Stegostoma tigrinum: one gene and its partner. The protein of the gene in region 2 interacts with the protein of the main gene of each other region in a biochemical or structural test. Links are inferred from orthologs where the notes say so. Each region holds a gene or a part of one and is shown on either strand. Other genes may lie near its edges. The genes, in order: relaxin-3-like and rxfp3.

Region 1 (11,318 bases), on a different chromosome or scaffold from region 2:
GTGTGTGTGGGACCCTGTACCCCAGTGAGAGTCAGTGTGCATGTGAGACCCCATACCCCAGTGAGATTCAGTGTGTTTGTAGAACTGTACCCCTGTGAGAGTCAGTGTGTGTTGGACTGTACCCCAGTGAGAGTCAGTGTGTGTGTGGGACTGTACCCCAGTGAGAGTCAGTGTGTGTAGGGCCCGTACCCCAGTGTGCGTTCGTGTGTGTGTGGGAACCCCTACCCCAGTGAGAGTCAATGTGTGTGTGGAACTGTACCCCAGTGAGAGTCAGTGTGTGGGACTGTCTGCCAGTGAGAGTTAGTGTGTGTGTGGGACCCTGTACCCCAGTGAGAGTCACTTTGAGTGGGAGTGTATCCCAGTGAGAGTCAGTGTGTGTGTGGAACTGTACCCCAGTGAGAGTTAGTATGTGTGTGGGAATGTAACCCCAGTAACAGTCAATGTATGTGTGGGACGGTACCCAGTGAGAGTCAGTGAGTATGTGGGACTGTACCCCAGTGAGGTTTAGTGTGTGTCTGGGAGTGTACCCCAGTTAGAGTCAAGTGTGTGTGTGGGACTGTACCCCAGTGAGAGTCAGTGTGTGTGTGGGACTGTACCCCAGTGAGAGTCAGTGTGTGTGTTGGACTGTACACCAGTGAGAGTCAGTGAGTGTGTGGGACTGTACCCCTGTTGGAGTGAGTGTGTGTGTGGGACTGATGCCCAGTGAGAATCAGTGTGTGTGGGAACCCATACCCCAGTGTGAGTCAACATGTATGTGGGACTGTCCCCCAGTGAGAATCAGTGTGTGTATGGAACTGTGCACCATTGAGAGTTATTGTGTGTGGAACTGTACCCTGGTGAGAGTCAATGTGTGTGTGGAACCCCATACCCCGGGTAGAGTCAATGTGTGTGTGGAACCCCATACCCCGGGTAGAGTCAATGTGTGTGTGTGCGATTGTACCCTAGTGAGAGTAAATGTGCATATGGGACTGTAGCCCAGTGAGAGTCAGTGCGTGTATGGGACCCCGTACCCCAGTGAGAGTCAGTGTGTGTGTGAGATTGTACCCCAATGAGAGTCAGTGTGTGTTTGGGACTGTAACCCAGTGAGAATCAATGTGCGTGTGTTACTGTACCGCAGTGGGAGTCAGTGAGTGTGTGGGACTTTACCCCAGTGACAGTCGCTGTGTTTATGGAACTGTCCCCCAGTGAGAGTCACTGTGTGTGTGTGCGACTGTACCCCACTGACAGTCAATGTGTGTGTGGGACCCCGTACCCCAGTGAGAGTCAATGTGTGTGTGTGACTGTACCCCAGTGAGAGTCAGTGTGTGTGTGGGACTGTACCCCAGTGTGAGTCAGTGTGTGGGACTGTACCCCAGTGTGAGTCAGTGTGTGTGGTTCTAGGGAACAGTGCGACTGGTTAATAATTATTTTACTGCAATGGGAAGTGAATGAATTGCTCCCACTTTAACATTGAAAAATGAAACTTGAGTCTGTTTTGATGCTGTAGACATTTTTTATGAAAAGCAGACTGTACAAACATGATGGGAACATATCAAAACTTTGACTGTAACCTTGAATAAGAACAATGAAGGTTTGATGGCAAACCAAAAAAAATGTTCATCTCTAGTCAAGACATCAAACATTTCAACCAATGCCTGTCTGTCAACAAGTCAGCATTGTGCAAATTGCTGGTTTCAATTTTGATCACTGTTCCTGTATCATGCACAGATATTTGTACTGTGCTTTTGTGGCCTCTGAGGCTTGAGATCTTGGCAAGAGAGCTATTTGCGCATTTCACCCCAGTCCTCAGGCTTCTGTTGTATGTTGAGGTGTACAGGAGGTTGTGGATGATGTAGAGGTGTACTCTAACAGAGTGAGCTGATCTCACTTTTGGTGCAACCCCATTTACAACAAGCACTGGACAGACCTGCCACCACATCCCTCCCCTTCCTGTTGGTGCTTCGCAAAGCCTCTAAGACATCATCAGAAACGCTTCTCCTGCTTCGGCTGTCTCCCCCAAGTCGTACCAGCACTCTCCAACTCTCTGGCTCATAGATGGTGACATCTTCTGAAAGAGGCCAGCCATCAAAATTGGTGTCTTTTATCGTCTTCTCCAGGTAGTCAGGGTTCTCAGAGATATCTGGAAGATAAACACACCACAACCCATAACACGGAAACTCATCATTAAATATCTTTTTTCTGAATAAGGGCCCTGACCCAGAACATTACCTTTCCAACTCATCATTAAATCTTCTCCAATAAAATTCAATAACCTAAAAGCTGGTTTGCAGTGATCTTCTTTCTTCAGGATCTCAAATTTTCTGCAGTACATCTGAGGACAGGTATCATCGAATTGAACTTGTTTCAGTGATAGGTGGCTGATCTTTGTCTCAATTCAGTCAGTACTGAGATACAGCGGGAGATGCAGGGATGTGCTTGCTACTCCCAAGCCTGTGACAGGTTTCTAACCACCCGTCCTCTCAGCTGAGCTTACTGTTCATCTGCGAGCCTGGACGGTGAAACCTAACAGAATATTCAATCACAAGTGACTTTATAATTGATCTTTCTCAACATACACACTTGGCTGCAGGATTTACCAGTGGGTAACGATTTGGAGAGGGACCCACAGTTAAACTTACTGCTTGTGAAGCCAGAGTTCTGAGAAGAATGCTGTGGCATTTTCCCTTGTTCCAGACAGGATCAGCTAGCAATAATTTAATTCAGATGTTCTATTCAGCCAGTTCCTCTTCTAAATGCATTTAAGAATCTCTGCATTATTTACAAGCCTCAGTGCAGCCACATGAACCCCATTTCAAATATATCTGTTCTCAAAAGCAGCAATGAACAAACGTTGGTGCTCAACCTCCTATCTCCCCACAACCAAAAACCAGGGCAGGAAGCCTGAAAGAACAGACTGTGAAAAGCTAGTTGACAGGGCTTGATATCGGATTCCGTGGATCAGAAATTGGCTTGCTGAAAGAAGACAGAGGGTGGTAGTTGATGGGAAATGTTCATCCTGTAGACCAGTTACTAGTGGTGTACCACAAGGGGCGGTGTTGGGTCCACTGCTGTTTGTCATTTTTATAAATGACCTGGATGAGGGCGTAGAAGGATGGGTTAGTAAATTTGCAGACGACACTAAGGTTGGTGGAGTTGTGGATAGTGACGAAGGATGCTGTAGGTTGCAGAGAGACATAGATAAGCTGCAGAGCTGGGCTGAGAGGTGGCAAATGGAGTTTAATGCAGACAAGTGTGAGGTGATGCACTTTGGTAGGAGTAACCGGAAGGCAAAGTACAGGGCTAATGGTAAGATTCTTGGTAGTGTAGATGAGCAGAGAGATCTCGGTGTCCATGTACACAGATCCTTGAAAGTTGCCACCCAGGTTGACAGGGCTGTTAAGAAGGCATACAGTGTTTTAGCTTTTATTAATAGGGGGATCGAGTTCCGGAACCAAGAGGTTATGCTGCAGCTGTACAAAATTCTGGTGCGGCCGCACTTGGAGTATTGCGTACAGTTCTGGTCACCGCATTACAAGAAGGATGTGGAAGCTTTGGAAAGGGTGCAGAGGAGATTTACTAGGATGTTGCCTGGTATGGAGTGAAGGTCTTACGAGGAAAGGCTGAGGGACTTGAGGCTGTTTTCATTAGAGAGAAGAAGGTTGAGAGGTGACTTAATTGAAACATATAAAATAATCAGAGGGTTAGATAGGGTGGATAGGGAGAGCCTTTTTCCTAGGATGGTGACGGTGAGCACGAGTGGGCATAGCTTTAAATTGAGGGGTGAAAGATATAGGACAGATGTCAGAGGTAGTTTCTTTACTCAGAGAGTAGTAACGGAATGGAATGCTTTGCCTGCAACGGTAGTAGATTCGCCAACTTTAGGTACATTTAAGTCGTCATTGGACAAGCATATGGACGTACATGGAATAGTGTAGGTTAGATGGGCTTGAGATCGGTATGACAGGTCGGCACAACATCGAGGGCCGAAGGGCCTGTACTGTGTTGTAATGTTCTAATCTAATTCTAATCTAATCTAATTCAATTTCAACCATCAGTCCTGACACATCAGAACTGACAAGTATCAGGACTGGAATGAGTGTGTAATTCAAACATGACAGAATTGTGATGCAGTACTGTCTGAAAGATGATGGACTTTTGGCATTATCACTGGACTATGAATCCAGAAACCCTGGTAATGTCCTGGGGACCTGAGAAGGAATCCCACCATGGCAGATGAATTCAAAAACAAACATCGAATTAGGAATCAAATGATGACCACAAAACCATTGTTAATTTTGGGAAAACCCATCTGGTTCACTAATGTCCTTCGGGGAAGGAAATTGCCATCCTTACATGGTCTGGCCTACATGTGACTCCAGACCCGCAACAATGTAGGTGACTCTTAACTGCCCTCCAGGCAAATAGGAATGGGCAGTAAATGCTGGCCTAGCCAACAATGCCCTCATCCTGTGAATGAGTGAATGAAAGATAATTTACTTTGTCTGTTCCACCCAGGCTCTGAGCTTCTCAGCAGTGCCAATTGTTTCCCCTTCATTGGAACAGCACAGACTGAGATCCACCTGGGCTTTGGCTGCAGCTGCATGGCAGCCCTGGACATTTGATTTCTATCTCATGCTGGGGGAGATCTCACTCTGCCCACTTGGGCATGAGCATCAGCTAACTAGGCAGAGACTGAGAGGATCACAGCTCCTTTAGGAATCCCACTGCTTTTCTTTTCATTGTTCCCACTGGGATCTGGCAACTAGCAAGTAACCCACTAGGATCTGGTAACTCGTGGATAGTCCATCTGCTGGGATGTTCACTCAGCGCTGTGCTGGGTGCTATTTTGCCTGTCAGTGGCACAGGCAAAATGTTCCCTGGTAGCTCTTACCTGCTGGATTTCTTCCTGTCCTTTTCCACCTGGAGCCTCCGCAGGTGAAAATGACTGCCCGGATAAATTCTCTCCCACAGAGTTTTACTCCAAGAACAGGTTTATGAGCATTAGCCTCCAGCTGAAACTCTGAGATGACCAGCCAGAGGGCCAGGATAAACCAAAACCTCTGCATGACGTGGACTGTCTTTCTTATCCTGTGAGACTGAGGATGCAGGAGTGAGGGGAGAATAGAGAGCACAAGGAGACAGAGAGAGAGAGGTTGAGGAGCGAGAATGAGGATCCCCGGTGCCAGTGCTGAAGCTAGAGCCTGTGCCTGCCTTACTTAAAGTCCACTCTATTTAAACCCTTGTTCATATCTGATAAACAGATGTAATTACTGAGCTGTCACAATACACATTAGGAGCTTATGGTTTAATGATCAGCAACAGAACTGCTGTAAAGGTCTCTGCCTGTGCGGAGACAGACACACTAAATGTTTAATATGATCTGCACAGCTTCAATGTTCTTATCAAAGAAAATATTAATCATATATAAAAGTATTCAAAGGAAAATCCTGACAATAAAAAGTCATGCGATGAGTTGCTATTTATTAAATGTTAAGACCTCACAGCTTACGTCATACATTTTATCACAAACCTTTGTTTAAAATTTTTGCCTAATTCTAACCTATGCACTCTCAAGCTCTTCTTGGAAGGGTTAATTCTTCATTTTCAATGGAGACCTCACTCAAGCATCCAGCCTCACGCTGTTATCCTTACACAACAAACTGTTCCATTGGTGAGGCAAACTGCATTCCTGTGACAGGCAGGGGGTCATGGGGATGGGAGCTGTTCATAGAACATAGAACGTTACAGCACAGTACAGGCCCTTCGGCCCTCAATGTTGTGCCGACCTGTCATACCGATCTCAAGCCCATCTAACCTACACTATTCCATGTACGTCCATATGCTTGTCCAATGACGACTTAAATGTACCTAAAGTTGGCGAATCTACTACCGTTGCAGGCAAACCGCTCCATTTCCTTACTACTCTCTGAGTAAAGAAACTACCTCTGACATCTGTCCTATATCTTTCACCCCTCAATTTAAAGCTATGCCCCCTCGTGCTCGCCGTCACCATCCTAGGAAAAAGGCTCTCCCTATCCACCCTATCTAACCCTCTGATTATTTTATGTGTCTCAATTAAGTCACCTCTCAACCTTCTTCTCTCTAATGAAAACAGCCTCAAATCCCTCAGCCTTTCCTTGTAAGACCTTCCCTCCATACCAGGCAACATCCTAGTAAATCTCCTCTGCACCCTTTCCAAAGTTTCCACATCCTTCTTATAGTGCGGTGACCAGAACTGTACACAATACTCCAAGCGCGGCCGCACCAGAGTTTTGTACAGCTTCCCCGTAACCTCTTGGTTCCGGAACTCGATCCCTCTATTAATAAAAGCTAAAACACTGTATGCCTTCTTAACAGCCCTGTCAACTTGGGTGGCAACTTTCAAGGATCTGTGTACACGGATACCGAGATCTCTCTGCTCATCTACACTACCAAGAATCTTACCATTAGCCCTGTACTTTGCCTTCCGGTTACTCCTACCAAAGTGCATCACCTCACACTTGTCTGCATTAAACTCCATTTGCCACCTCTCAGCCCAGCTCTGCAGCTTATCTATGTCTCTCTGCAACCTACAGCATCCTTCATCGTTATCCACAACTCCACCGACCTTAGCGTCGTCTGCAAATTTACTAATCCATCCTTCTACGCCTGCATCCAGGTCATTTATAAAAATGACAAACAGCAGTGGACCCAACACAGACCCTTGCGGTACACCACTAGTAACTGGTCTCCAGGATGAACATTTCCCATCAACTACCACCCTCTGTCTTCTTTCAGCAAGCCAATTTCCGATCCAAACTGCTCTATCTCCCACAATTTCATTCCTCTGCATTTTATATAATAGCCTATTGTGGGGAACCTTATCGAACACCTTGCTGAAATCCATATACACCACATCAACCGGTTTACTCTCATCTACCTGTTTGGTAACCTTCTCAAAGAACTCAATAACGTTTGTGAGGCACGACCTTCCCTTCACAAAACCGTGCTGACTATCCCTAATCAATTTATTCTTTTCTAGATGATTATAAATCCTATCCCTTATAACCTTTTCCAACACTTTACCAACAACTGAGGTAAGGCTCACTGGTCTATAATTACCAGGGTTGTCTCTACTCCCCTTCTTGAACAGGGGAACCACATTTGCTATTCTCCAGTCATCTGGCACTATTCCTTTAGACAATGACGAGTTAAAGATCAATGCCAAAGGCTTGACAATCTCCTCCCTGGCTTCCCAGAGGATCCAAGGATAAATCCCATCCGGCCCAGGAGACTTATCTATCTTCACACTCTGTAGGATTTCTAATACCTCTTCCTTGTGAACCAATCCCACCTAGTCTAGTAGCCTGTTTCTCAGTATTCTCCTCGACAACATTGTCATTTTCTAGACTGAATACTGTCGAAAAAACTTCCACTGGAAGCAAAATTGAGTGGGAGCAGCATTCACAAAGGAAAGATCACATCCCCCCATCCCTGCTCCCACTAACAGCACGAGGCTTTCAATATCCGCCTCATCACTCACATAGGGACTTTCCTTATTAGGTGACATCTCCAAAAATACAGTGTTCCCTCAGCACAGATGACCCGACAGTGCGGCGATCCCTCAATACCGACACCCTGAGAGTACAGTGCTCCCTCAGTACAGACCCTCCCACAGTGTGGGACTCCCTCAGCACTGACCCTCCGACAGTGAGGGACTCCCTCAGCACTGATCCTCCGACAGTGCGGCACTCCCTCAGCACTGACCCTCCGACAGTGTGGGACTCCTCAGCACTGACCCTCCAACATCGCTATGTTTTCTCAGTCCAGTACAAATCTGCCAGAATTATGGATCCTGAATTAATTATCTCTCTCTGAGACTGGCTCAGTCAACATGAACTTGAATTCTAGTATGTTTGAGTTGGCATTAGACTGAACAGCCAGTATATCCAGAAGAAACTCTCTGAAACTTTTGTAGTACCCAGAAAAGCTCCAAGATGCAGCAATGGCATCAAGCACTGAGTTCTCTGAATCAATTTCCATTTTGCTCATGTTCAGCGTCAGCACAGTCGCTATGGCCTGCTGGCTCTGCCCTGGGTTCAGGTTTCACGAGATTGCTTGCACAAAAGACACTGACTTTACATTCATTGTGCATCCCATATTTTCAATGGACCATGCAATCTCAGAGGTTCATTGTGAAAGAAACAGGAACAGAACAAGCAATAAAATCTTAGAACACAAAGAGTGGTAGTGGACGGAAAATATTTAACATGGTGCTCAGTTACGAATGGTGTACCACAAGGATCTGTTCTGGGTCCCCTTCTATTTGTGATTTGTGTACAAGATTTGGATGTAGCAGTGGAGGGGTGGATTAGTAAGTTCATGGATGATACAAATGTGGGTCGAGTTGTGGATAGTGCGGAGGGCTGTTCTAGGTTACAAAGGGACATTGATAGGATGCAGAGCTGGGCTGAGAAGTGGCAGATGGAGTTTAATCCTGAAAGATGTGAGGTGATTCATTTTGGAAGGACAAATTTTAAAGCAGAATACAGGGTTAACAGAAAGATTCTTGGCAGTGTGGAGGAGCAGAGGGATCTTGGGGTTCATGTCCACTGTTCCCTGAAAGCTGCCACCCAGGTGGATAGAGTTGTTAAGAAGGCGTATAGTGTGTTAGTGTTCATTAATAGAGGGATTGAGTTCAAGAGCCGTGAGGTTATGCCCCAGCTATACAAATGCCCCTGGTTGGGCCACATCTGGAGTATTGTGTCCAGTTCTGGTCGCCTCGTTACAGGACTGATGTGGAAGCGTTGGGAAAGGTGCAGAGGAGATTTACCAGGATGTTGCCTGGAATGGAAGGAAGTTCTTAAGAGGAACGGTTGAGGGAGCTAGGGTTTTGCTCTTCAGAACAACAAAGGATGAGAGGTGACTTGATAGAGGTGTACAAAATGATCAGAGGTATAGATAGAGTAGGCAGCCAGAGACTTTTTCCTCGGGTGGAAGTAGCTATTACAAGGGGCATAGTTTTAAAGTGAGTGGAGGTAGATATCAGGGAGATGTCAGAGGTAGGTTCTTTACTCAGAGAGTGGTCGGGGCGTGGAGTGCATTGCCGGAGAGGGTAGTGGAGTCGGCCACAGTAGGGGCATTTAAGTGGCTGTTAGATAGGCATATGGATGATAGTATAAGGTAGGGGTGGAGGTTAGAGCGACCTTAGGATTAAGGTAAAAGTTCAGCACAACATCTTGGGCCCAAGGGTCTGAACTGTGCTACATTCTATGTTCTAATAAAAGAGATGGATTATGAAAGACAGAGAATTAGACAGAGGTAAAAGTTCAGAGCGAAACACAGGTTAGATAAAGAGGAACTGCGTATGGAGCCAAAGAGGGGCTGGCAGCCTGAGAGAAGGAATGGAAAGAAAGAATGAAGGAAAGCACAACAGATGGAGAGAAAATCAGGAATGTGTGTGTTTGAGAGAGAGGTGCTTACTGCAGACATATAGGACACATACTGAAAGGAAAACTGTGTATTGGAGGAACAATAAAAGTTACTCCTTGTCTTGTGAGTTTTTTGGGCAGAGTATCAGACTAAACTAACACAGTGTGAATATCAGTTAGAGCAATAAGTTGTGAAGAAAGCCTCTTTTCTATATGTACACTCAAGGCAGGGTTGAAGATATAAACTGATCATCAATGACAATATCAAGAGAGGAAAACAAAATTGATGAACTATTCAGCAGGTCAAGGTCAAGCTGCATGTGTGGAAAAAGCAATAGATTTCATATCTCAGGATATTATGTGTATACTTCTTCGAGCTGCTGTTAGACCCGCCCTCTTGTGCCCAGCACCATGTGTTGTAATATCACGATGAGAGAACCAAGACATTAGATCTAAGCTCTGCAGTCCTGCCAAATCCAGCTGTGAATGATGGTGAACAATTAAACAACTCACTGGAGGAGGCTTCACAAACGTGTCCATTCTGAATGATGGGGGAGCCCCACGCATCAGTGCAAAAGGCTGAAACATTCATAATAACTTTTTACCAGAAGTACCAACTGGATGATCCACCTCGGCCTCCTGCAGTGGTCCCCAACATCATAGAGGCCAGTCTTCAGCCAATTCGATTCACTCCATGTTGTGTCATGAAACAGCTGACGATATTGGACGTTGCAAAGGTGATGGCTTCCAATCACAGTACTGAAGGTGTGCTCTCCAGAACAACTAAGTGCCTAGCGAAGCTGTTTCAGTATAGTCACAAAACTGGCATCTACCCAGCAAAGTAGAAAATTGCCCAGGTTTGTCCTGTTGTTACAACTCGTAGGGGTAGTGCGCTGGAAATTGAGCCTCAGAATTCTCAGAGTAGTTACAAATGTGAAAAGCTTTAAGTAACTTTTGCGCCACAAAAATACAATAACCATCACCAATAAGAGACAATCTAACCACCATCCTTGACATTCAATGGTGTTACCATCACTGAATCTCCCCCTAACAATATCCTTGGGGTTACTATGGACCAGAAATACAACTGAATTCACCACATGATCACAGTGGCTACAAGAGCAGGTCAGAAGCTGGGAATACTGCGGTAACTCATCTCCTGACACCTCAAAGCCTGTTTAGCATCTACAAAGCACAAGTCAGGAATATGTTGGAATACTCCCCATTTGCCTGGACGGATGCAGCTCCAACACCATTCGAGGAGTTTGACACCATCCAGGACATAGCAGCCCGCTTAATTGGCACCACATCCGAATGCATCCACTCGCTCCACCACCAACACTCAGTAGCAGCTGTGCATACTTATATATAGAACATAGAACATAGAACAGTACAGCACAGAACAGGCCCTTCAGCCCACAATGTTGTGCCGACCATTGATCCTCATGTATGCACCCTCAAATTTCTGCGACCATATACATGTCCAGCAGTCTCTTAAATGACCCCAATGACCTTGCTTCCACAACTGCTGCTGGCAACGCATTCCATGCTCTCACAACTCTCTGCGTAAAGAACCTGCCTCTGACATCCCCTCTATACTTTCCACCAACCAGCTTAAAACTATGACCCCTCGTGCTAGCCATTTCTGCCCTGGGAAATAGTCTCTGGCTATCAACTCTATCTATGCCTCTCATTGTATACCTCAATTAGGTCCCGTCTCCTCCTCCTTTTCTCCAATGAAAAGAGACCGAGCTCAGTCAACCTCTCTTCATAAGATAAGCCCTCCAGTCCAGGCAGCATCCTGGTAAACCTCCTCTGAACCCTCTCCAAAGCATCCACATCTTTCCTATAATAGGGCGACCAGAACTGGACGCAGTATTCCAAGTGTGGTCTAACCAAAGTTTTATAGAGCTGCAACAAGATCTCAAG
Region 2 (10,652 bases):
TGTGGAAGAAATCAGAGAATGACTGTCACTTGTTTTGTTGGGTTGAAACTGACATTGTATGTGCACCGAGATGATGGGAACTGCAGATGCTGGAGAATCCAAGATGACAAAATGTGGAGCTGGATGAACACAGCAGGCCAAACATCTTAGGAGCATAAAAGCTCTCTGATGAAGGGTCTAGGCCCGAAACATCAGCTTTTGTGCTTCTAAGATGCTACTTGGCCTGCTGTGTTCATCCAGCTCCACACTTTGTTTTCTTGTGTGTGTACATGTTCTTTCAGTTTGCAAAGTACTGTGTCCTAATGTTAATATGCACAGCTTTGCGTCTACCTCAGCCTTGATTATATTTAACAATACGTCCTCTACAATCCTTGGTGGTAAAGAATACCACAGATTCACTTGCCTACACAAGAAGAAAGCCCTCTTCACAACTGTATTAAATAGGCAGCCAATCCTCTGAAATTGTGCCTTAAAGTCATAGACTCTCCCACAGAAGGAAGCAACTCTCAACATCTAATTTAATGTAATTTCCAAAAGATGTTTCACAAGATGCAGCACATACCACATTTTGGCAGTAGTATGTGAGTATGGTGAATTGGCTAATAGAGAACAGAGCTGGAATAAGGGAGGCAATTTCAGGATGGGAAACTGTAACTAATGGAAAACCACAGGTGTACTACAGATTGGTGTAAGAGGCACAATTACTTGTGACGTATTTATGACTTGAATGAGGAAAGATAATATAAAATCACTAAGAGCTAAATTTTATGAATTTTGGTTAGGTCTGAGTTGCATCCACTGTGAGGCAAATTGCCATTTCTTGCATCATGTACTAGCAACCCTGATTTGTGACATCCTTCAAATCCAATTCCAGCTGCATCTTACCATTCACCATTTTCAAAGCAACTTGCCATTTGGCAGATGTTCCAGAATTGACATGCCTTGCTTGCAGCCCCAACATATTTAAAAGCCCAGTGTGCACCTGGACAAGCACTGTCAGTCAGAGTTGCCTTGCATGGTTTCTGAGGTTTACCCAAGTCATAGCAGACAAGGGGACAGTGACACATAGCTCTTTAGGCAGGGACATGAATATCCTGATAGATGGCGTGATGCAGACACGGAACTTCCTCCTGCCTGGGACTAACAGTGGAGGTCATTACACCACAAATCTGGACAGTACAAATCCTGCATGCCCTCGATAATACCTACATTCACTTGTGACATCTCTCCACCGAAATCATAAGTAGCAGCTTTGCCACTCGCTTATTTCTCTCTTAGTACCTGCCTTGCTCTCATTCCAGAATAAAAATAACCTCCAATATGGCAGAAATGGTCAGGATAGGGGATAGACTGCTCAGCCCATTTGGTTCCTCAGCATCCTGACTCGAGTGCTGACTGACTACTTCGAGCCCCTGGACCAATATTGAAAACTGCTCTTGGCTTACTATGCCAGGACTCCTTGTAATGAAAGTTACCTTCCTTAACTCGACTGACAACTGAGATGGAGATAGTAGGAACTGTGGGTGCTGGAGAATCTGAGATAACAAGGTGTAGAGCTGGATGGACACAGCAGGCCAAGCAGCATCAGAGGAGCAAGAAGGCTGGCATTTCAGGCCTGGACCCTTCTTCAGAAAACAAGCTTCCTTCTTTTTTGTATGTGCTAAATGGAAGGCAAGGCAGAAGTAAATGTTTCTGGTAGCTCTGGCTGAGGTGTCAAAGCTCAAAAAGCAAGGCAAGTTAATACAAGGCAGAAAATCTGTAAGCATCCGGAGTGTGGGATCATCTAATTAAGACAGAGTTGAGGCATTTCTTCTCTCAGAGGGTATTGAATCTGAAGAATGCTTTAATATAGTAAATAAAACAACCTGCAGACCTCTGCGGTAAAGAACAAGAAAGACTTTTAATCAGCAAACAAGTGCTATGAAGAAAGGGCAGGCAAGTGGAGTTGGTGATAATTGGATATGTCATGGTCTCACTGAATGGTGGAGCAGACTGGATAGGCTGTATAGTCTAAGATAACAAAGTGTAAAGCTGGATGAACACAGCAGGCCAAGCAGCATTTGAGATGCTGCTTGGCCTGCTGTGTTCATCCAGCTTCACACTTTGCTATCTTGGCTTCTCCAGCATCTGCAGTTCCCATTATTTCTTAGAGGCTGTATAGTCTACTTCTGCTCTTACATCTTGTGGGTTTCTGATCTTAATTCAGTATGAGCAAGCACACAACCCTGTAAGCTCGACTGATAATCTTTAGTTTGCTCTCAGTGTAAGTCTTAGCACACTCCAGATTGTTTCATTTCCACATTCGGACATGATGTTTTACAGTTAGCAAGCCTGAACGGCTGACTATCCTCCGCCTCTGCCGCATCTGCTCCCACGATAAGACATTCCACTCCCGCACATCCCAGATGTCCAAGTTCTTTAAGGACCGCAACTTTCCCCCCACGGTGATTGAGAACGCCCTTGACCGCGTCTCCCGCATTTCCCGCGACACATCCCTCACACCCCGCCCCCGCCACAACCGCCCCAAGAGGATCCCCCTCGTTCTCACACACCACCCTACCAACCTCCGGATACAACGCATTATCCTCCGACACTTCCGCCATTTACAATCCGACCCCACCACCCAAGACATTTTTCCATCCCCTCCCCTATCTGCTTTCCGGAGAGACCACTCTCTCCGTGACTCCCTTGTTCGCTCCACACTGCCCTCCAACCCCACCACACCCGGCACCTTCCCCTGCAACCGCAGGAAATGCTACACTTGCCCCCACACCTCCTCCCTCACCCCTATCCCAGGCACCAAGATGACATTCCACATTAAGCAGAGGTTCACCTGCACATCTGCCAATGTGGTATACTGCATCCACTGTACCCGGTGCGGCTTCCTCTACATTGGGGAAACCAAGCGGAGGCTTGGGGACCGCTTTGCAGAACACCTCCGCTCAGTTCGCAACAAACAACTGCACCTCCCAGTCGCAAACCATTTCCACTCCCCCTCCCATTCTCTTGATGACATGTCCATCATGGGCCTCCTGCACTGCCACAATGATGCCACCCGAAGGTTGCAGGAACAGCAACTCATATTCCGCCTGGGAACCCTGCAGCCATATGGTATCAATGTGGACTTCACCAGTTTCAAAATCTCCCCTTCCCCCACTGCATCCCTAAACCAGCCCAGTTCATCCCCTCCCCCCACTGCACCACACAACCAGCCCAGCTCTTCCCCCCCACCCACTGCATCCCAAAACCAGTCCAACCTGTCTCTGCCTCCCTAACCGGTTCTTCCTCTCACCCATCCCTTCCTCCCACCCCAAGCCGCACCCCCAGCTACCTACTAACCTCATCCCACCTCCTTGACCTGTCCGTCTTCCCTGAACTGACCTATCCCCTCCCTACCTCCCCACCCACACCTTCTCCACCTATCTTCTTTACTCTCCATCTTCGGTCCGCCTCCCCCTCTCTCCCTATTTATTCCAGTTCCCTCCCCCCATCCCCCTCTCTGATGAAGGGTCTAGGCCCGAAACGTCAGCTTTTGTGCTCCTGAGATGCTGCTTGGCCTGCTGTGTTCATCCAGCCTCACATTCTATGGTTCCTACCGTGCTTGTTGTGAATGCCTGGAGGCATTTGCTGCTCTTTGAGTTCTGCCAGTCTTTCCAGTGTAGCGTCACACTGGCACTGAAATACATACATCATGTTATTCATTTAGATGATGAGCAAAATGTCTTTTTAGCTTTGGGGCAGCATCCAGTTTGCGGTTAACACTGCTCAAGTTGCTACAGTATAGTAGTGGTGTATTAACTAGCTTCGCCGTTTCTCAAGTTTCTGAGAAATACTTCTCGGATGACGTGAGGTCGGTTGGTAGTGGTGGTTAGGGGAATGTCCAATCGGGGCTGGAGATGGGTGCAATGAGGCAATGGCAGGTAAAACAGGGTGACAGGTGCCTGCTCTGGCACATGGGAAAGGGCTTATTGTGATGAAGTTGTTAGTGGTGGGGGGAAATGATGGTCGAAATCTAACCATTTTTGGGTAGTAGGTTAACAGTAGGCCCGGCAGCGCTCAGTTGGGAAGGGCGGAATAGTGTTCGGTGGATGAAGGGATCTTATTTGTCAGGCGTCCGGTGGTTGAAAGGGATTGAGGTAGGTGCAGTTAGGGAATAGGTGTCAGATTAACAATTAGGTAGGATTTGGAGATAGTAGGAACTTCAGATGCTGGAGAATCTGAGACAACAAGGTTTAGAGCTGAATGAACACAGCAGGCCAAGCAGGATCAGAGGAGCTGGAAGCTGAGGTTTCGGGCCGAGAGCCTTCTTCAGATTTCTGAATTTCAAGGCCCGAAATGCCAGCCTTCCTGCTCCTCTGATGCTGCTTGACCTGCTGTATTCATCCAGCTCTACGCCTTATTATCTTAGGTAGGGTTTGGAGTAGGTTTTTATTGCCAAGATGCTGGCGTGGACATAATGGCCTGAGTGGCCCTTGTTTAGTAAAATTCTGTGATCCTGGAATAGTGTAGGTTAGATGAGCTTCAGATCGGTATGACAGGTCGGCACAACATCGAGGGCCGAAGGGCCTGTACTGCGCTGTAATGTTCTATGTTCGTCTAACGTTTCCTGAGTTGCTATTAAGGTTAACTGAGTCAGAACTCTCTTATCAGACTTTTGTTTAGGGGTTGCAGGCGCAGTTGGATTGATCTGGGAACTTTAAATTACACCGGGCCATTCGCAAGGTGACCGCTGCGCTCGGAATTCAGCAGGGTCCTGACGCGCGGCTCTGCTGCCTGCAATGCTCCAACATTCTCCGGCAGTCGGAATATTGTCAACACATTCACTGCTCTCTCTACGGTCTTTTGTCGCGATAGTGGGAAGTGGTCATCCGGATCCAGTGCCGTTGATTCCCAAAGTGAAACGCTCTCACCGTCGACCTGGTTGTCCTCTTTCTCCAGGCGCTAACTGTGTCTCTTTCTGACCTCGTGTTGACCGGATTTTCATCGCATTCTCCCTCTGTCTTCCCCACCACTTTATCCAAGATTTTCATGAACAACTGGAGAGGCTTTATTGAGGGAAAAGAATGAAATAAGAACGGGGTGGGGTATGGATAAGCGTGAAGTCAGAATGAACAGACTATTTAAAAGTCTATTTAAAAATATCTAGATGCTGAGCGACACTCCAGTACGAAACTGTGTACACGTTGAAAAGAGGAGCTTGCAGGATATATGTCCGAACAGGGATCACTTGTTAAAACAAGGCTGGCTCATCAACTTTTAACAAAGATCTGCGGACCGTGGAAATGCCGAACTAAAGCAGAAATTGCTGAAGAGGCTCAGCAGGTCTTGGCGGCATCAGAAGGAAGTTGTGGGGATCACTGGATTCTCTGCACGGATACTGCCAGATCTGCTGAGATTCTCCAGCAATTTCGGCTCTTGTATCTTGTTAACTCGTTGTTTGTCCAAGTGGGAAAGCAAAGAGCACTGAAACGAAGCGACGTGGAACTCCAAAAAGAGGAGTGCATGCGATTCTAGCCGAATGTATTGTCCCTCTCCCCACGCCGCCACCCCACAAAAGTTAATCACTTCGGCAATAAATAGGTGGGAACACAAAGCTGCGGCCAGCGCTAACAATTTCTGTAACCAACTTCCAAACTCCGAAAGAACTGTGGATGCTCTAAATTAGAAAAAAATGAAATTATTGGGAAAGCTCAGGAGGCCTGGCAGCATCTGTGGTAGTTCTGAGGAAGGATCATTCGATTCGAAACGTTAATCCTGAATTTCGTCTCCACAGATGCTGGAAAACCTGCTGTGCTTTTCCAGCGATTTTGTTTCTAACTTCAAGATCCCCTCCGAGCCTCTGAGGCGGCACGACCCTGAAAGGATCCCGGTGTCGTTTCTTGGAAGGTGGTGTGCGGAGAGGGAACAGACCTCAATAAATGGTCATTTCTAACACCCAATCCCATTGTCTCTCCTGGCACTTCGCGGTGAGGTGACTGGCCGCGCCTTAATCTGAGGCGCGTAAAGAGCGAGCGGGAATCGCACTCTCTCAGTGCAGTAAACACCAGGAGATGCTGCTGCTGCTGTTGTCCAAACCGCCAGAAAACTGGAGCAGAGATTGGCGGAGGAGGTGGGGATTATTTGTAAATAGTTCTGTTTGGGAGAACGAGTCAATATTGCGGGCGGTGTATCCACTCTCTCTGGGCTCTCAGGCCGATGGAAATGCAGGGAAGGTGTGTGTGTGTGTGCTTTATGTGATCTCACTTCGTCTCCAAACTGAAACGTGAAGAAGAATAATTCGGGGGAAGATCCCAGGCTGGGATGGGAGGACGCAAGCGCAGAGCTGTGTCAGGGGGAGGTGATGGGGTGTATGTGTGTGCTGGGGGGGGGGGTGCTGTGGATGTGGATGGTGATGGGAGGGGGTGGAGTTTAGTATAAAACTGCCTGTTCTGGGCTCTGCCATGGACATTTCCCGCCTGAAGCTGACGGAGCAGGGAGTGCGCCGGGTCACAGCAGACCAGACCATGGGATGGACTTCGACCTCATCGCCAGCAACCGGACGGCGGCTGCGGAGCAGGGCTGCCGGTTTCGGCCCGTTAGCTTCGCCTGGCTCTCCGCCTTCAACCGGAGCAACGAGTCTCGGGCGGGGGAGCCGCTGAGCGGCGACTTGGAGGCGGGAGGCACTTCAGCCGCCGCCCGCATCGTCATCTCGGTGGTGTACTCGGCGGTGTGCGCTCTGGGGCTGCTCGGTAACGTGCTGGTCCTCTACCTGATGAAGAGCAGGCGGGGCTGGAAGAAATCCTCCATTAACCTGTTCGTCACCGGACTGGCGGCCACTGACTTCCAGTTCGTGCTGACCCTGCCCTTCTGGGCGGTGGACACGGCGATGGACTTCAGCTGGCCCTTCGGCCGGGTCATGTGCAAGGTTGTCTCCCTGGTGACCGTCATGAACATGTACGCCAGCGTCTTCTTCCTCACCGCCATGAGCATGGCCCGCTATTGGTCGGTAGCTTCCGCCCTGAAGCCCAGGAGCAAGATGAGCGGCTGCTCGGCCATGTGGGTCAGCATCGTGATCTGGATCTCCGCTGTGCTGGCCAGCATCCCGCACGCTGTCTTCTCCACCACCACCAGGATCTCCAACGAGGAGCTGTGCGTGCTGAAGTTCCCGGACCACAACGGCTCCGGTCAGTTCTGGCTGGGTCTCTACCAGATCCAGAAGGTGCTGTTGGGCTTCCTCATCCCTTTGGTCCTCATCACGGTCTGCTACCTGCTGTTGCTGCGCTACGTGACCAACAGGAATGTCAGCAGCTCCAGCGCCAGCCGGAGGTCCAAGGTGACCAAGTCGGTCACCATTGTCGTTCTGTCCTTCTTTCTGTGCTGGCTCCCCAACCAGGCGCTGACTTTCTGGGGAGTCCTGATCAAACTCAACGCCGTTCAGTTCACCTCCGAGTACTACATCGCCCAGTCCTACATCTTCCCCATCACCGTCTGCCTGGCTCACACTAACAGCTGCCTGAACCCCATCCTGTACTGCCTGATGAGGAGAGAGTTCCGCAAGGCGCTGAAAGGCATGTTCTGGAGGATGTCCTCCCCCACCATTATACACATGCGGCCCTTCACAGCCAGCACTAAGCCAGAACAGGATGAGCAGAGGCATGTCATCATTCCGAAAAACCCGGTCCAGCCGGAGATTTTGTATTACCCTCCGGGGGTTGTGATGTGCAACGGGCGATATGACATCTTGCCCGCCAACTCTGCGGAGCCCCGCTATTAAGGAGGCTGTGGAATGAGTTAAAATTGATCCGCTTTTCAGAAGAACGATATAGTGTAAGTCTGCCGAGGTTTAGCCAACTCTCAAGCCATTGTAGTTCGTCACTTTGCCATTGCAGTTCGATCGTTTCTCCAGACCAAATTGCTCTGGGTTAATCGTTGTGTGGCTGAAACAGCAGCAGTGCTGATCCCAAGACAAGCGGTGCGAGCATACAGTCATATCGGACACAGAATGTTAGCTATTTTCTTTCGCCACAGATGCGCCCACTGAGTTCCTCCGTCACTTTCTGTTTTAATGTTTATACGCGCCCCCTTAACAGCGAAATTTCCGAAGTTAGCCGCAATTGATTTTAACGCATAGGAATCCAGTTAATAGCAGAACCGCTAGGCGACAGTCATTACAGCCAAACATTATCCTATCCCGTGAGATTGTTGTGAAATAATAATCGGATTGGAACCAGGTACAGCTCCGTTTACTGTACAGCATCATACGCCACGAAGTAGGGCACTCGCACTTTTCAGAACAAAAATAATCGCCGTGTCTAGTTTGGAAACTTTTGAGTTCGATCTTCTAAATTAGTTTGTGGTCTTCTCGAACAATGAAAGGCTGTGAATGATCGTAAATATCATGACACAAACTCAAGTTGTATGTTTTCACTTAAGCAGGGTGACAAGTTGAACAGAAAATATATGAATTTCATTCTGTGAAAAGCGTAATTATTCGGCATCAGGTGAAATCACAGCATCTGTGTGAGAGGTTGCCACAGCTCCGGGAAGCCCTATTTGATACGGAATCGTTTTCACTTCAAATTGCAATCAATGTGCGCTCCAAATTACAGTTTATCTTTGGTTTGTCTGTCTTTTACGTTCATCCTCCTTCTTCAGTCTGAGGTACTCGTTACAAAATTCTCCATCTTCAAGTAATTCACCATTCGTATTCCACGTGACGATGAAAAATCTAAACGCCCCGACCTCTGGAGATTCTGATACAGTGCCATGTTTACTTTTCAGGATTCACTGTTCACAATAGTAGCTTTGCTAAAACTCCTCTTCTGCAGATATTATTTGTTAGAAATAAACCATTATACTCGCAAACTGCTTGTTTATAAAAACCAAAAGAAGTGCAGATGCTGTAAATCAGGAACAAAAACAAAGTTGCTGGAAAAGCTCAGCAATTCTGGCAGCATCTGTGAAGGAGAAATCAGAGTTAACATTTCGGGTCCAGTGACCCTTCCTCAGAACTGACCCTTTCTGAGGAAGGGTCACTGGACCTGAAACATTAACTTTGTTTTCTCCTTCCTAAATGCTGTCAGATCTGCTGAGCTCTATCTGCATATTTATGTTCCTTAATAATAATGTAGACAACAAAGATTCATGATTGAAAGATTGCACAATTTTGATTATTTTCATATTCACCAGTTTTAGCACTTATAATTGGAAATTAAAGTTATGAACCAAAACTGTGTTGTAAGTATTAACTACTATTTTTGCTAAATAGGTAATGATAGTGCTAAAATACTTAATTAATTGAGCATTACTATACTATTCATTTTGCATTGATGTAAAACAGTTTCAGATATACATTGACACATATCAGAATTAAAGTTAATATAATTTAAAAGTTGAGTTGATAATTTGACTGAAGTGCATTAGTTGCTCTAGAAAGTAGTTCTGCACTGTTTGGGTTTCAGAGTCATTCATGAAGAGCTACAGTCAACAATGGCAAAATACTAAATCACCAAATCATACAATGCAGGTAAAGGAAATTTGTTCACTCCTATCTATTTTATACTTACCCATTTAGTCCCACTCCCTTGTTTCTTATCTGTAGCTATGATTATGTTTCCTTTTCAAATATCTGTTCCTTTAACTTGAAGCCAGTGGTTCCTTTATGTCAATGAGGCATATTGCAACTTTGATTTAATCTGCTACTTTTGTACTGTCATAAATAGTTTTGAGTGCATAGTGAAGTTGCTAGTGCTATTGGAACTTCAGAGCTTGGAGCCAGTCTGACTTCAGAATGCAGCATGTCAAGCAGCGTGAAACCCTTTACAGGCACCTGGCTCAAACATCTCAGGAGTAACACCAGACAAAAAATTACTTTGGAGCTGGCTAAAGTGAATCATAAAAATTAACTCATATTTTCTATTCAACTTCCAGTTGCGTAAGAATCAAAAATTGAAAAGTACAGCTAAATAGATGTTAAAATGTGAGGCTGGATGAACACAGCAGGCCCAGCAGCATCCTGAGATGCTGCTGGGCCTGCTGTGTTCACCCAGCCTCACGTTTTATTATCTTGGATTCTCCAGCATCTGCAGTTCCCATTATCGCTAAATAGATGTTCCTTTCTCGACCATTCCAACTCAAAAAGAAATGCTGCTCGTGATTAAAAGATTTTACATGCATACTGAGAATTTTCCTGGTTTGCAATTTTTGGGAGCATTGTGTTTCAATGAACTGAATTTATCTGAACTTGTAATATTACTGTAGACAATGTTTAAAACAATAACAGTAAGTTGCTTTTATATAGCATCTTTTAGTAAAACTTGACAAGACACTTAACAGAATTGTTAGAAGACAAAGTTTGACACAGAATGTATTTGAAAGCAAGAAATTTTGTGGCGTGTAGTAAAGAAGAAAGAAACATAACTGAATAAATAGTTCAGTGAGGGAACTTCAGACCTTAGAGCTGTTGTGATCTTTGTGGGGAAGCCATAAGCACATTTATTGAATTAGTCTCAGTGGAAGAAGTTACTTACAGGACTCTACTTCTTATGCTTTTCTTTGTGTCACATGAATCAGAACCAACACTGCATCTTTTTGCTTTGCACAGAAGAACATTTGTTGAGTAAAATTATTTCTTACTGTCAGTTTTTAAATTTTACTGATATAGTTCTCATGTT

What was found.
Region 1: the proteins of rxfp3 (region 2) and relaxin-3-like form a complex in vitro, tested with the Homo sapiens proteins (2 studies listed by BioGRID, with this or other methods). The link is inferred for Stegostoma tigrinum from reciprocal best matches to the Homo sapiens genes RXFP3 and RLN3.

What each region holds. Positions count from the first base shown.
Region 1 is NC_081388.1:24,053,570-24,064,887, forward strand, and holds relaxin-3-like, read right to left. Parts: upstream 5,163-11,318; 5' UTR 5,046-5,162; coding exon 4,871-5,045; intron 2,120-4,870; coding exon 1,845-2,119; 3' UTR 1,639-1,844; downstream 1-1,638. UniProt on the Homo sapiens protein: May play a role in neuropeptide signaling processes. Ligand for LGR7, RXFP3 and RXFP4.
Region 2 is NC_081354.1:149,601,022-149,611,673, reverse strand, and holds the start of rxfp3 (relaxin-3 receptor 1), read left to right. Parts: upstream 1-6,459; 5' UTR 6,460-6,508; coding exon 6,509-7,753; 3' UTR 7,754-9,505; exon of another isoform or gene 9,506-9,959; intron 9,960-10,652. UniProt on the Homo sapiens protein: Receptor for RNL3/relaxin-3. Binding of the ligand inhibit cAMP accumulation.